2 linked regions of the Caenorhabditis elegans genome follow. The protein of the gene in region 1 purifies or fractionates together with the protein of each later gene. This does not show direct contact. Each region holds a gene or a part of one and is shown in the gene's direction. Other genes may lie near its edges. The genes, in order: C47B2.2 and gda-1.

Region 1 (8,107 bases):
AAGCGAGTTTCTCAAGTGTTGAAGCTCCTGATCAGTCGTGGCGTTTGGTACGAGAAGTCCGTGACGATTTCCGACTGTAAGTCTTCCGACAATTCTGGTCGAGGCGATCGACGTGTGCACGACTGGGATGAGATCGCTGAGCTCGGCCTCCAAAATACTGTAAAAGTTCTGAGTGCCACCGACGCCGACGAGGCAGTAGCTGTTGGTGAGGGTGCAGAACACACCGACATCGTTCGATCCTTCGTAATCGACGCGGAGAGCCATTTTCAACCGGGAAACTGGAATTTTTTTTGAAAATTAATTGATTTAATATCGAGAAAATAGTAAAAATTGATTGGAAAAACGAGAAAGAATGGGTGTTAGCAAGACAAATACAAACTACAAATGGGCGGAGCTTCGAAATGTTGTGCAATATTGAATAACAGGGAATTTTCATTTTCTATAGGCAGTTTTATATGAAATTACTTAAAAATGAACGAAAAATTCAATTTTTGAATTTTAAAACTCAAAAAGTCAATGAAAAACTTAAGATTAAAAGTTTTAGGCAGAGATTTTCAATTGAAAAATAAAATAAAATTAACGGAAATTTTTTGGTGCAAACACGCTCCACGGAACTCTACAAATTTGCGTTATTTCGGAGTGTCGTTGCGATGACTTTGAAAAATCTTTTTGTCAGCATTCCAACATTTTTCGAAGTTTTCCACCATTTTTCCTGCTTTTCTAGCGTATTTTTGATTAAAAATTTGTAGAAATTAAGTGGAAGTTCGCTATTGAATAGGTTATCTGCAGAAAATCACTTGTGAGACAGCAGAAATCAGGGAAATCGAAGTTTTTCGTTAATCAGTTTTTTCTAGATGGTTTTCCGTATTTTTCCTGTCATTTTTATTGTTTTTTTTTCTCAAAATGTTTTGTGAGATCTTTTCAAATACAACATTAATTCCAGAATGGCCACCGCTGACGTCAAATCCACCGTCCCACACATGGACATGGACCGTGGAGGCGCGTTCGACTTCTCCAACTGCATTCGTAATCAGGCAATGTGCAAGATGGGCGGAAAGGCTCCAAAGCTCACCAGTACCGGAACCACCATCGTCGCCGTTGCCTTCAAGGGCGGACTTGTGATGGGAGCTGATTCCCGTGCCACCGCCGGAAATATCATCGCCGATAAGCATTGCGAGAAGGTTCACAAGCTCACTGAGTCGATCTATGCCTGCGGAGCCGGAACCGCCGCCGATCTCGATCAAGTCACAAAGATGCTCTCTGGAAATCTCCGTCTTCTGGAATTAAACACCGGGCGCAAGGCTCGTGTGATCACCGCTCTTCGTCAAGCTAAGCAGCATCTTTTCAACTATCAAGGATACATCGGAGCCTACTTGCTCATTGGAGGAGTCGATCCAACTGGCCCACATCTTTATATGTGCTCCGCCAACGGAACTACAATGGCCTTCCCATTCACAGCTCAAGGATCTGGATCATATGCAGCTATCACTATTTTGGAGCGTGATTTTAAGGTTGATATGACGGTAAGTAGTCTATTTTTGAATTCCAATGCGCTAAAAATACTATAATTATATTTTTCAGAAAGATGAAGCCGAGAAGCTTGTCCAACGCGCCCTGGAAGCCGGTATGCACGGTGACAACGCCTCAGGAAACAGTTTGAATCTTGTGATCATCGAGCCAAGCGAGACCGTCTTCAAGGGGCCAATTGTGCCAGAATTCTGCAAGCGACCAGAGCCCAACGACCTCGTCTACAAATTCCAGGCCGGAGCCACCAAGGTGCTGAAACACAAGACCTACAAGTACGACGTCGTCGAGTCCATGGATATCACTCACTAAATTGCGGTCTTCTGTCGATGTGTGTATTCTTTCCCCCAATTATTTATTTTTTTTCGATTTTCCATCCGTTTCGGTGTCGTCGGTGATTACTTTTTTCGGTATTTTCGTATCCGCCGGCAGTTCTTATCACATTTGTTTTATAAATTCCGAATATAAACTGTCTATTTTCCTTAAAACTGGTATTGTTTGTTGTCTTAATTTGGACTGAAAGCCGGAAAAATGACTTGAAAAACGCTTTCAAGTGTTTTTCCCAATAGTAAAAGTTACTCTCCGGGTTTTAAAAGGAAAAAACTGCGAAATGAATAGATTTTCCAGATCTGAATTGAAAACTTTCTGCGAAAAACTAATTTCCACCTGAATTCTTCTCAAAAGTCAAGAGAGAAGAGTCAAAACTCACAAGAAAAAAATAATCCGATTTGAATTGCCGCGCAGAGAGTTAGATGTGCAGGTCATATAGCAAACACGCTCCACCCACCAATCATTGGCGCGAAACATTTTTTTGTATCTTGTTCTGACTCATTTCCCTGCCTTCCCCGTCGTAATCAGTGTCGTTTTTCCGAAAAATTCCAAATTTTATCATTATTTTATCAGTTTTCCATAGTTTACCCTCATTCGGCCGTGTTCCGGCCCTTTCAAAAATGTTTGTTTTCACGTAAAATCGAATTTTGAAGACGTGAAGCTTCTTCAAGTTGAAATTCAACATTTTCAAATCATTTTGCGATTTCACAAGACGGTTTTCTGCTGCATCTTCCTTGATTAATCTCCGAAAGCACGTATGTTTCAAAATGACTCAAAGTAATCCCATTGGGAATTGCGAAATTCCCATTGTTATTCTCTGGGTCTCTTACAACGGGGTTTTGGCTCCCTTGCAGTCCACTCCTTTGCACTCATTTCAATCCGCTCTCCACTGGCGCCCCGCTATTTCGTCATCATTTTTTTGCAATCGATGACTTGTCCACCGCGGTGTCCGATGTTGGGCTATGTTGAGAGAGCGCGCGCGCTCGTGCGTTCTCGGCCCTATTTGGGCTCACTTTCGTCTCTGCTCTCACCGCAATCGTTTCGTTCTCATATAACAATTGTCTTTCTCTTTTAAAACTTTATAATTTTCTTTTTCAGAAAAGAAAATGCGTGAGGTCATCTCTATCCACGTCGGACAAGCCGGAGTCCAAATCGGAAACGCCTGCTGGGAGCTCTACTGCCTCGAGCACGGAATCCAGCCCGATGGAACCATGCCAACTCAATCAACGAACGAGGGAGAGTCGTTCACCACTTTCTTCTCAGACACCGGATCCGGCCGTTACGTTCCAAGATCCATCTTCGTCGATCTCGAGCCAACTGTCGTTGACGAGATTCGCACTGGAACCTACAAGAAGCTCTTCCATCCAGAGCAGATGATCACCGGAAAGGAAGACGCCGCTAACAACTACGCTCGTGGACACTACACCGTCGGAAAGGAGCTCATCGACACCGTCCTCGACAGGATCCGTCGTCTCGCTGATAACTGCAGTGGACTCCAAGGATTCTTCGTCTTCCACTCCTTCGGAGGAGGTACCGGATCCGGATTCACTTCGCTTCTTATGGAACGTCTTTCCGTCGACTACGGAAAGAAGTCCAAGCTCGAGTTCTCCATCTACCCAGCTCCACAGGTCTCAACCGCCGTCGTTGAGCCATACAACTCGATCCTCACCACCCATACCACCTTGGAGCACTCCGACTGCGCCTTCATGGTCGATAACGAGGCCATCTACGACATCTGCCGCAGAAACTTGGATGTTGAGCGACCAAGCTACACCAACCTCAACAGAATCATCTCCCAGGTTTGTTGAGCTCAATTTGATTGTTGTATTCTAATGTTCTCTTTTTACAGGTTGTCTCCTCAATCACTGCTTCCTTGAGATTCGATGGAGCCCTCAACGTTGATCTCAACGAGTTCCAGACCAACTTGGTGCCATACCCAAGAATTCACTTCCCATTGGCCGCCTACACTCCACTCATCTCTGCTGAGAAGGCCTACCACGAGGCTCTGTCCGTCAGCGACATCACCAATAGCTGCTTCGAGCCGGCTAACCAGATGGTCAAGTGTGATCCACGTCACGGAAAGTACATGGCTGTGTGCCTCTTGTACAGAGGAGACGTCGTTCCAAAGGACGTTAACACCGCCATCGCTGCAATCAAGACCAAGAGAACCATCCAATTCGTCGATTGGTGCCCAACCGGATTCAAGGTCGGAATCAACTACCAGCCACCAACTGTTGTGCCAGGAGGTGATCTTGCCAAGGTGCCACGCGCCGTCTGCATGCTCTCCAACACTACCGCCATCGCTGAGGCCTGGTCTCGTCTCGACTACAAGTTCGACTTGATGTACGCCAAGCGTGCCTTCGTCCACTGGTATGTTGCCCGTTAAACTATACTTTTCAAATATTCAATGTGTTTCTTTTCAGGTACGTCGGAGAAGGTATGGAGGAAGGAGAGTTCACCGAGGCTCGTGAGGACTTGGCTGCTCTCGAGAAGGACTACGAAGAGGTCGGAGCTGACTCCAACGAGGGAGGAGAAGAGGAGGGAGAGGAGTACTAGATGCTCCCACAATCAACTGCCTGGCGATTGACTTTTAATTTATTACTGCAGTTCGATCGTCATAAACAATGTATTATGAAGTATTTTATTTATATAATGTTTTTTGTTAAAAAGAGAAAGAATGAAAGTCGGAACACTTTACGTTTATACCGAGTTGAGTGCCGCAGAGCAAACATGTACAAGCCGACAGTATTTGAGCAGCAGACGCTTGTTCTGCTCATCGATCAGTATTAGATTACAGAAATGGCTGGGCATGTGAATGGAACATGTGCTCCAGTGATTCCAAAGGTTGGTGATGAGGAAGACGGTGTCGGGCAGTTGGTGGCAAATCTGAAAGAGAAGGGAACAAATTTTGTTCTTTTGAAGAAGACTCCACAGATACTTGAATTGCAGACAATTTTGAAAGATAGGTATGAAGTTTGACTGGGAATAGACTGAAGCCTCAAACATTTTATGGGTGAAAATTTAAAGAAAGGGGCTGAAAACTCATATTTCCAAGCTCTTTTTCCAGATTTTGCGGAAAAATTAACGATTTTCGGTATTTTTGCCGGAAAAACTTGTTGATTTTAAATAAACTCCTTTTTTGCCTTAAAAAGCGATTTTCTTGGAATTTAGATTTTAAAAATCCGTTAATTCACAAATTTTCGGGTCAGAAACGGCATTTTAAGCGATTTTGCCAGTAAATTAGGAGAAAAATAGAAAACGTTTTCATTTTTTGGCCTTTTTGCCGTGAAATTAACTGAAATTTTGATTAAAAAACGTTTTTTTTTGTTAGAAAACATGAATATATTTATTTATATAAATGAATTTTTCAAGGATTTTCTCGGATTTTGAGTCAAAATTCCGATATTTTCATAAATTTCCGGGTCCGAAACGGTATTTTTCGTGATTTCCTCGCAATTTTAGAAGTTTTCCTTGTAAAAATTGGTTGAGGCTCAGAGAATCTTGTAGTTTGTAGTTTGTAGCCCCATAGCCTCAACCATCTTCCAATTTCCAGATCAACAAATCACTCGGATTTCGTATTCAACGCGGATCGTCTGATGCGGCTTGTAATTGAAGAATGTCTCAATCATCTTCCATTCACTGAGCACACAGTTACCACACCAACAGGCTTCAAATATGAAGGAATTCAATTTAATCGTGGAAATTGTGGAGTATCGTTGTGTAGAAGTGGAGAGGCGATGGAAGTTTCATTGAGACAGTGTTGTCGGTGTATTCGAATTGGAAAAATTCTGATTGGTACGGGAAATTGAGGATATCGAGAGGAATTTGGGAAATTTCCTAGAAAAGGCGAAGAAAATTGAGAAATATAGAAGAAAATGGCGAAAAATCACCAAAATCATTGCGATTTTCATCAATTTCTCCCTGAAATTACCTGGAATCTCTTATAAATGCAGATTTCTGCTTGAAAAATGGAAAAATCTGGTGAATATCCAGTTTTTATAGATTTTCTCCTGAATACCCCTCAAAATCTGTGAAAAGTCTGACTTTTCCTTCAAAAATACCTCTAATTCGTAGAGAAACTCGTTTTTTCAGCCGAAAAATGTTTTTTTTTTTAAATCTGTAATAAATATGTACTGTTCTTATGGTAAAATTCCTGAAAAATATATTAAAAATATATATAATAGTAAAATTTGCGTTTTTACCCAGAAAAGTGGTAGAAATCGTGAGTTTTACTGAGTTTGTCGAAAACTGGCGATACTTTTTTAAAAGAAAAACCTCAAAACTCGCAAAATTTCCAATTTTCATCCACTTTTTGTTACAGGCGACGAACAAAAAGTGCTCTACGCCAGGCTTCTTCCGGATATCACGTCGCGTCGAGTTCTACTGCTCTACCCAACGATAGGGTACGCTCAGAGACTACAAACTACAAAAAATATCTGGCCGAAATAAATTTGATTGAAAAATCTGAGAAAAAAAACACAAAATTTAATGTCAAAAAATCGATTTTCCCGGCGAAAAATCGTAAAATTCAATAATTTGTTTGACGTAGAAACTTTAAAAATGTCGATCACTAAAACTTCCCCAGAAGGCGAAAAATTGTCTAAAAAATTGAGTTTTTTTTTGTGCAAAAAAAATCTTTTTTTGAAATTTTTTTAACTGAAGAAACATTTAAATTTAAAAAATCACATTTTTATCAAAATTTCCAATTTTTCAGATCTGGGACGACAGTTTGCAAGGCAATTGAAGTCCTAAAAGAGGCACGTGTCCCAGATGAGAATATCTACTTGGTTTCCCTATTCATCTCACCGACTGGACTCAAGAATATAACCAGAAAGTACCCGTATATCACTGTCGTCGCCTCCGATATCACATCTCTCTATCCAAATCATTTCTCAACCAGCTATTTTGGTGCTGTCTAGACTAGTTTTGTGTAGTTTGTAGCCTTTTGACACTACAAACTACATCGTTTCCGTTTCAAATGCAGTATTTTTATTCACTTTTCTCACTTGATCATCTCTTCATTTCTCGTTATTGGTTTGTAGTTTGTAGTTATTGTAGTCTTCTTTTTTACTTTTTCACTGTTGATTTCCCCTATTTTTTTTTGACAAAATGTTCATTGAATTTCCGCATAACTAAATTCTTTTGTGTTGTTTTCGGTTCATTAAACATTATTTTAAGATGCAATGACTACGGTAGTCATTTTCTGAGTACATGGTGTGCGTACAGGGCGCTATATTTTACGCGCAAAGTTGAGAGTGAGATTTTTCCTCATTTTTTGGATTTTCACTGCAAATTTAAGAAATTTTACGAAAATAAACGTTTTATTTCAAATTCTATTTGCTACTTTGCATGCAAATTGTTTTTTTTTCATTATATTCTGAAAATAAAATAAGTTAAAATTAGCCGTTTCAAAAAAAGTTTCCGAAACTACGGTAGTTCTCGGAGTACGCAACTTGCGTACCGGGCATCTCATTTGACGCACAGAATTCCTAGTTTATTGTTTTTGGATTTTCAAAATTTCAAACATAGTTTTTGCATTTTTCCTGTCGTTTTTGTGATTTTTATTTGTGAAAATTTATTAGACAGAAAAGAAATTTTCAGTTTTCACGAAATTTACTGGAAAATTTGTTATTTTACCGTTAGGTAACGTATTTTACAAAGATATTTCACTTTATCCGTATTTTCTTATTGTTTTCTTCACTTCAAACGATTGAAAACTGAATCAATCAAATAAATTTCCTATTTTTCAGGTAATTTGTCAAAATGACTGGCTCATCTCGTGGAATTGTCGAAATGACAAAGAAACTGGATCGATTAAATTGTTAGTGTTAAAATGAAATTTGCATCGGATTCAGTTTAAAATTTGCTTATTTTCAGATCGAAGAAAAGACCACTTACGCTTTTAAGCATGCCAGTTGATGTTATGGAGAAAGTTATGAAGAAAGTGGATCCATACGATTGGTATCAAATTTTGAATGTTAGGCAAATGTTAAAAAAAAACCAAATGAGTTTCAGGATTTCCGTCCGCAATTCCAATCGAAATCTTCGAGATTTCGTCGACAGCCAGCACCTCAAATTGGACATTGATGTTTCTATTGAGGGCACTTTTCACACCATTGATATCAATGGAAATCAATCCTTCGGACCTTTCCATCCGGTCGTGGCTGATGATGAAAGAAGAACCATCTACAATAAAAGACTACAGTTTGCTCTCAGAAAATTGTTCGTGGTTATGAAGCTTCCAAGTGCCCAA
Region 2 (8,014 bases), on another chromosome or scaffold:
ACCCAAGTTTCGCCAAAGTCTTGCCCAAGTTTGACCTAAGTTTCACCCAACTTTAGATATTCTGATACAGATTATCTTACCAAACTCTGAAACAACTTTAAACAATCTTTAGCCAAAGTTTCACCCAAGTTTAACCGAGTTGCTACGCGCCACTTCTTACTACCCAAGTTTGGCCAAAATTTGGCCCAAGTTTGGCCCAAGTTTAGGCACACAGCGCTCATCCGCAGCGCTCTTAACGCAATGATTATTAATTTCGAAATCAACTTTCTCTTTTAATTATCGTTAATTTTTCTTCCTATTTCCGTCATATTTTATCATTTTCAATAATTTTTTCTCAATTTTACACATATAATTAACTGTTTTTTGTTTTTTCTTTGACACTCTCTTATTTTATTTGTAAACTATTATTTTATCCTTTTTGTTCTCGAAAATATTTGCCTTTTTCGCTGTTATTTAATTCATTAATCACTTTCAGTATAATTTAACTTTGGAATCTAAATATGGCGCCTCTTAAGAGAAGAAAAGTTTCGGTGAGTTAATAATCCTCATTAGAAAATTAGCAAAAGTAAAATTCAGGCTCCGACTGGAAATGAAAATACCCCAAGATCGACACGTTCCATTCGTCATAAGAGGGAAGATCCAAGAGGGAAGATGAAGCCACTTGCAACCAGTACTCGAACATCTTCGGTTAACAAGAAAAAAAAGAACGATGACGACTACGAAAACTTTTATTCTGGAGAGAACACTATAACGACTATGAAGCCAGTTGTATTCCCAAAAAAACCAGTGATTTTTGAGCACGGGTACGGAATTGAAGACGACATTGAAGACGAAATAGATGATGAAGAATTGGACGACGAAGAATATGAGGAGAGTGGAAACGGAAACGAAGATGAAGTTGAAGAGGAAGTCGGAGTGGAGGAGCAAGAAATTGAAAACAACTTCGCTTATAAAAAAGTCAAGAGTGAAATTTCGTGCTCGCCATTCCTTAAAGAGCATTCTGTACATTCTGTACTGACAAATAATCGCGCAAAAACTGGTACAATTGATTCAAAGGCTGGGCGCACAGCCTATCGAAAACAGAAACTTCGTGAAGGAACATGTTGCTCACAAAGCAATGAGGCAACCGGGGACAGCACAGACAGATCAAGTACCTCCGCGGGATTTGATGTTTTTCAGCATCTACAAAACAGAGCGGTCCAGAAAACTATGATTGGTAAGTCACATTGAAACTAAATCTTGAGTTTAAAGCAAATTGTAATTTTCAGAGCAACTGGAATCAGCGGTTCGAAATCAAGATGTTATGGAAATGGGCAACGTTGTGAAGAAGGGATTAGAAAATGGAACTCTTTCAGAGATCCAGATAGAGGTGCAAAATATCCAAAATATCCAAATATTTAATCTTAATATCTTAATTTTAAGGAATTTTGTAAACATACAACTCGTCCAAACTTCTCGATCCTACAGTTCGTCCAGGCTCTCAGACAATCTACAGAAGACGAGAAAGAGTCTATTCAAATTGCACAGATGATGATGGCAGGCCGTAATTAATCAATTTCATATCCTAATACTTTTTTCAGTTTAAAATGCAGGATCCTAAGGATGGGAATTACACCGCACTTGCAGCAAACGTGCACACCCTGACATCGAAAATTTCAAAGCAGTTGAACGCTGGATGTATCGTGAAACGAACACTTACGATGAACCACACAATTTCACAAGCTGACGGGTTTCCTACGTGTAATCTCACAGATATTTATAACTCTGAACTCTTGATTGGAGGTGATGCCGTCTCGCAACTTTCAAATTTCTATATGGTTGCCTTGAAAACTGTAAGTTGACATTTTGATATATAAAAATAATAAATTCAATTCAGATGCTGGAGCCTTCTTATAAAATCTGGGCATTTACTTACCGACCAAGCTGTGTTCGCCGTGTTGATAGACATTTTCAAGAGTTACCACAAAAAGTGACAACAGCGATTATTGGTGCGTTTAAGATGTGAACAATTTCTAATCACAAAATCATGTTTTTTTCAGAAGTCGCATTCGATATTGTTGGAGTTTATTTGCCGGTTGAGCTGTCATACGGTTCGATTGATAGGGAGCATGAGTAAGACATGAACCAACTTTAAACAATTTTGAATTATTCATTTCATTTCTTCTAGATTCATCAAAACGCTTGGAGAAGGAGCAGAACTTGAGGTTCAGCGCCGTAGGGACGAAAGAATCACAGTGTTCAAGAACGCAGTAGAAGCCCTTGGCAAAGCAATGTAAGAAATCTCGTAAAAATTGTAAAATGTAAAAAAAAATGATATGATTTCAGGAACAATCTTCGAACATATCACTTTGATATTGCCAAAGGAGCACTATTCAACTGCAATAAACCATCTTATTGCGAGCATCATCTCAAGTGGGGACAGGTTCGAAAGTTCAGAGAACAGCATCAGAGGATGGAAACGTCACCAGAAGAAGTTATCAGATTGTAAGTAACTCAATACTTTTAATCGATAAACCAATACATTTTCATTACAGTGCAACCGGTCAACGCAATGAGCATGATGTCTCCGCTGCTGGACGATCGGTCAAAGACTCCACCCACTGAAGCTTAATTTTTCGTTGTTTTTTTTTTGTAATTGATTTTTGTTGTTAACCCTGTTCATGTTTTGTCCTTAAATAAATATTTTCCACAGGAAATCGTCTAAAGAATAAAGTAAAAGCGCGGCATAATTCGCATCTATAATCACCAAGGTCTTGCCCAAGTTTAGCCCAAGTTTAGCCCAAGTTTTACCCAAGTTTTGCCCAAGTTTGGCCAGCTTCTAATCCATGTTAATTTTTCTTGGGTGAAACTTGGGCAAGAAGCTGGCGGTGAATGCCGAGTTCCCCGCAAAAGCTTCAGTTTTTAATTATTTGATCTACCACCTCTTGCACTTTCCCCTGCCACTCTCTCACCTGATACTAGGCCCCCATAAATTTTCAATTTTCTTCCATTTCTCACAAATTTTCTTATCAAAACCTTTTTTAATTTCTTATCAATTAAATAATCTTACAACAGACATCATACCAGAAAAACCAAAAAAAAAAAGAAAGTGCTCGCGGAGCTCACGTGGTTGGCTCGGGCAGCTGGGGGTGGAAAAGCTCGTCGCTGATAAGGGATCACTTTGTGATAAGACGATGATGATCGTGACCTGTTTCAAAGACGTTTTGCCACTTTCGACGCGAATTTTTGGGTTTTTTGGGGGAAAAATTTGTTGCATTTTGTTGAATTTTTAGAATTTTTTATTTACTTTTTTGGGAGTTTTTTCAACAAAAACCCGCCTGCTCACCTCGAAAATTTCCTTTCTTCGTCAGACCTTACTAATTTTTTTTCAGAACCTTCCCCAACTCCTACTATAAAATGAGCCCATCCGCCTCTGATAAGCCTCTCCCACCCCATCACGCTGAGCACATGGCCGAAGCTGTCGCAGAAGCTTGTCGAGGTGTCGAGTGTGGAGATGGTGGACCATTCGGTGCGGTTGTAGTTGATTCAAACGGGAAAGTGGTCGCAAAAGGCCACAATATGGTGCTGGTCACCAAGGATCCGACAATGCACGCCGAGATGACTGCTATTAAGAATGCCTGCAAGGCATTGGGTAGGCACACGAATATTTAGAGCATCTAGTGATAAATTGACATAACATTTGAATTTTACAACCTCGATTTCCTATATTTCTTAAAAAATTTTTTTGCGATTTTTAGGATTTTTTTTTTCAAAAAAAAAGTTGCAGAATTTTTTCTCGAATTAGAGCAAATTTTTTCACATAATTTTACAAGTTAGATAGTTTAAAATTATTTTTGAAAATTGAAAAAAAACAACGATTAACTATTTTTCTGTTAAAAAATGCTAAATTTTTTCGACGTTTTTTTTCGATAAGTTTTTAATTGAAATTCACGTTTTCAGGAACTTTTGACCTATCTGGACATATTTTGTACACATCTTGCTATCCATGCCCAATGTGCATGGGCGGATGCCTTTGGGCTCGATTCGACGCAATTTACTACGGAGCAACTGCTCAGCAGGTGATTTTCATAAAAACTAATTTTTTACACTATTACTGTCTCTTTAAGAGCTTTTATCAATTTTAGTGACGTTCGGGGTTATTTTTCAAACTTTGGGTTACTGTAGCACCAAAAGTACGCAATACACCGGACCTTACGGCAAAATCACAAACTTTTGAAATTTTACCGAATCTGTTCAAACCAGTTATAGACCTAATCTAGAAATTGCCTGTAAAAATCCATAATTTTGTGCATTTTCTCAAGTTCATTAATTTGTGGAAACCCTTGGAAAAAGTAATTTTCAAAATTTTTTACTAAAAAAATCGAATTCTGCACCTTTTTTCAGTTCAATTTAAAAAAAAACTGTGCATTTTGTCGTAAGCTTTGGTGCACTGCGTATTTTCGGTGACACAGTAACCCAAAAAAAAAAACCTTTTCCAAATAAAACAAGTTCTTCCAGGCGGCCGAGATTGGATTCGACGACAAAGCATTCCACGACTTCCTAAAAGACCCGAAAAGCGATGAAATCCGAAAATTGGAGCATTTGGCAGCCGACAACTACCTACTCCCATTCCAAATGTGGTCCAACAAACCGGACAAGACAGAATATTAATTGGAGTATTTTTTTGAAAATTGTTTCGTTAAATAAAATTTGAAAAACATATAAAAAGACAAATACATTGGGACGGTTGGGGAAAAATTGGCAAAATTGGCAAAATTTCAAACTTTTTTTAGGTAACTTTCAAAATCATTTGCTCGGATTTTGTAGCTTTTGGGTATTGAGATGTTCGATATCGATTTCCACCCGCCGGACGTTCAGTTTCAGCCACTTTCATGAAGTTATCGACCTGAAAATTAAAAAAAAAAATTAGAAGAAAATTTGTTTCCTGGCTATCAAATTTTCTGTTGAAAATCTTGTAATGTGCAGGGTTAGAATTGAAAAAAAAACGTTTTTAGTAAAGAAAAGTGCTCAAAGTTTTGTTTTTTCAGAGATATGACGCATTACGGGTTACTTGTGCCCTAAGAGTACGCGATACACCGAATCTTACGGCAAAACGCACAGGTTTTAAAACGTGGCGCCAATCTGTCCCATTGCGGTTTGATCTACAAAAAATGCGGGAATTTTTTGCCTAAAAAAATGTGAAGTCAACACGTTCTTAACCATGCGAAATCAGTTGAGAACTCTGCGTCTCGTTTCCCGCATTTTTTGTAGATCTAAGAAGATCAAGCCGAAATGGGACACTCTGACACCACGTGTTTACCCAAAAAGCATATTTTGCACAATTTTAAAGTTTTGTGCATGTTGTCGTAAGATTCGGTGCACTGCGTACTTCCAGAGCTACAGTAACCTGTAACTTCGCTAAAATCGTCATATCTCAACAACGATTGATTCTACTGAAAAGTTATCAACTAACAAATTGTTCTACACAAAATTTTGCACATTTTATTAGTTCTAAACTATTTTTTAAATTAAATACCTGCAAAGATACAAGAGTTTCAAAAAAAAAATTTTCAATGACACACCAGCGGAGCTAATTTGGTTTTTGTTTTCTATCAAAATTTTATTCTCAAATCACTATTGCATAAGCTTGTGTGAGTGAAAAATGCACATTTATTCATCAAAAAACACACGTTTTGCCATTTTCTCACGTTCTCGCGATTTCAGTGAGAATGCGACTTGAGCCTAAAGTACATTGTTGGAAAAGCTAATACATAAAAAAAATACTCTGAAAAATCACAAAACTCACTATAATTGTGATGGGCAATGCTAAAACCAAGACTCCACACGCGATTGCCCCAGTTGCCACCAGTTTTCCAGCTGAAATTAAAAAAAAATTTTTTTTTAGTGAAAATTGAATAAAAAACTAGGCTTAAATAGTTTTTAAAGATTTTTCATGTCAAAATTTGTGCTCACCGACATTTTTACCCTAACCAGCCTTTTTTTGCGCAATTTAAAAAATCTGTGCATTTTGTCGTGAGGTTTGGTGTACTGCGTACTTTTGGCGCTACAGTAACCCAAAACTTGAAAAATAGTGCCCAAAATATATGCCCAAGGGAACAAAATCACAAGAAATCTGAATTTTTTAAAATTAAATTAATTTTAAAAAACTTACGAACTGTAACCGGAGTCAGGTCCCCGTACCCTGAAAATTTCGTTTTATATTTTATTTTAAAATTTTCAAAAATTTCCGAAACAAAGTACGTTACAACATTTATATCTTACCGACTGTTGTCATGGTGACAATACACCTAAATATCAGTTTTTTTTCAAAAAATTTCAAATATTTTTGGAAAAAAAGTGTCTTACCACCAACACGCCGCCGGAATTGAATGGAATTTTGAAGCGGGCTCGTCTTTTTCCAAAAAATATACCAAAGTCGAGAAAAATATGACACCTGTCATTACAACCATTGCCATCATACCCAGTTGACGGAATGACGCCTGAAAATTGCCAATAAAGGGGCGGAGTCAAAAAGCCATTTTTCTTTCAAAAAATTTTGGCGCGAAATCAAAACTTGGACCTACTTTCAAAGTTTTTCCGAACATTTGCAGACCACTGGAATATCGTCCCAACTTGAGCACACGAATGACTCTGAGCACTCGAAGAATTCGAATAACAAGGAATGCTCCTTTGAGGTCCCGTAGTTGCTCCGTTGATATTCCAAAAATTAAGAGAAGCATTTCTATGATAAATGGAAGGATAGCAAGTAGATCTATGATGTTGAGCAGTTGCCGGAATGTCTTGCTCCTCTCAGCACTGACCAACATTTTTAGGCCTGAAGAAAAAACAGTAACAATTTTTCAATGTACGGAATTTTTTATTTTTGACTGTTTTAAGAAGCTTTTAGAAATTTGCCATGTCTTCCAAAAATTTACAAATTTTTAGCAGGGTTTTGAATTTTCTAGAATTTTCGTTGAGTTTCGCGCCTAAAATTTTCCACAAATTTAAATTTCGCCCCAAAAAATTCCCCGCAAAATTTAAATTTTCTGCCAAAATTGTTTTCATAAATTTGAATTTCCCGCCAAATGTTTTTCATAAAAGTTGAATTTTGCCTAGTTTCTTTTTTGCGAAAATTGAAATTCCCGCCAAAAAATCCCCCGCACAAGTTTTCTCACAAAACTTTAAATTCCCTGCAAAGTTCGTCGCACAAAATTTGAATTTCGCGCTAAATTTTTATTCGGAAAATTTTAATTTCCCGCCAAAACGTTTTTTTTACAAAATTTGAAATTGCCTTACCGTACTCCATAGTAAACCAAACAATGCAAACATATTCGATATATCCTAAAATTGGCATAGGCTCCATTTCCGTGAATTCTGTAAAACAGGTAAAGAAAAGTTGAAAGCCCAGAGCGACGGCCAACATACCTTCCCCAGTCAAATTGTTCCTCTGTTTCGTAGCCACCTGCAACTCGGGCAAGCTTCCCAACACGAGTCCGCTTATCGAAATGAGCACAAATACCACGGAGCAAACTGCAAAAGCTTGGGCTTTTCCCGAACTAGCCGGCTCCTCAATTATATTCCAAACGCAACGACGAATTTCCCCAAATCTCAAAGTTTTGAATAAATTCGGCTTGTCCTGCTCTTCGACTTCCTCGTCGTCATCGTCCTGAAAAATGTGGTAGGTGCTTTTCAGGTTTTTTGGAAAGTTGTGCATTTTTACAGTTATTGAAAAAATATCAGAAAATATAAAAAACCACCAGAAATTCTAATTTTCACACGAACATTCCTTTACAAAAAAAACGTACAATTTGCTGAGCACAACAGCACGACGCCAAATATTGATCGGGTATGATTCTCCAATACTCCAACTCTTCAATGATATCTACGGGGCACAAGTTTGATGGTTGGTGGATTACTCCTGAAACTCGAGCAGTTTCCAGCAAACTTAAAAATTCCTTACCATTGAGGTAAAATTGATAAACAATGTGAAAAAGTGATGGAGGCCGTTCAAAGTAGAATTCGGACGTTGAACTGA

What was found.
Region 2: the proteins of C47B2.2 (region 1) and gda-1 fractionate together in Caenorhabditis elegans (co-fractionation; one large-scale study listed by BioGRID). This does not show direct contact.

The regions. Positions count from the first base shown.
Region 1 is NC_003279.8:12,961,117-12,969,223, reverse strand, and holds C47B2.2 (Phosphoribosyltransferase domain-containing protein), read left to right. Parts: upstream 1-4,644; 5' UTR 4,645-4,653; coding exon 4,654-4,820; intron 4,821-5,407; coding exon 5,408-5,649; intron 5,650-6,175; coding exon 6,176-6,257; intron 6,258-6,568; coding exon 6,569-6,773; 3' UTR 6,774-7,182; downstream 7,183-8,107. Other genes in the region: eif-6 (Eukaryotic translation initiation factor 6), read right to left, coding at 1-264; pbs-2 (Proteasome subunit beta), read left to right, coding at 945-1,523, 1,582-1,836; tba-2 (Tubulin alpha-2 chain), read left to right, coding at 2,961-3,653, 3,704-4,224, 4,278-4,410; fbxa-140 (F-box domain-containing protein), read left to right, coding at 7,763-7,815, 7,870-8,107.
Region 2 is NC_003281.10:11,021,924-11,029,937, reverse strand, and holds gda-1 (CMP/dCMP-type deaminase domain-containing protein), read left to right. Parts: upstream 1-3,371; 5' UTR 3,372-3,396; coding exon 3,397-3,631; intron 3,632-3,939; coding exon 3,940-4,058; intron 4,059-4,497; coding exon 4,498-4,650; 3' UTR 4,651-4,699; downstream 4,700-8,014. Other genes in the region: Y48A6B.8 (Wsv161), read left to right, coding at 501-530, 577-1,216, 1,269-1,369, 1,423-1,536, 1,581-1,832, 1,877-1,988, 2,040-2,112, 2,168-2,272 and 2 more; putative voltage-gated potassium channel subunit kvs-4, read right to left, coding at 4,769-4,885, 5,786-5,856, 6,152-6,181, 6,262-6,287, 6,346-6,479, 6,564-6,814, 7,276-7,353, 7,405-7,645 and 2 more.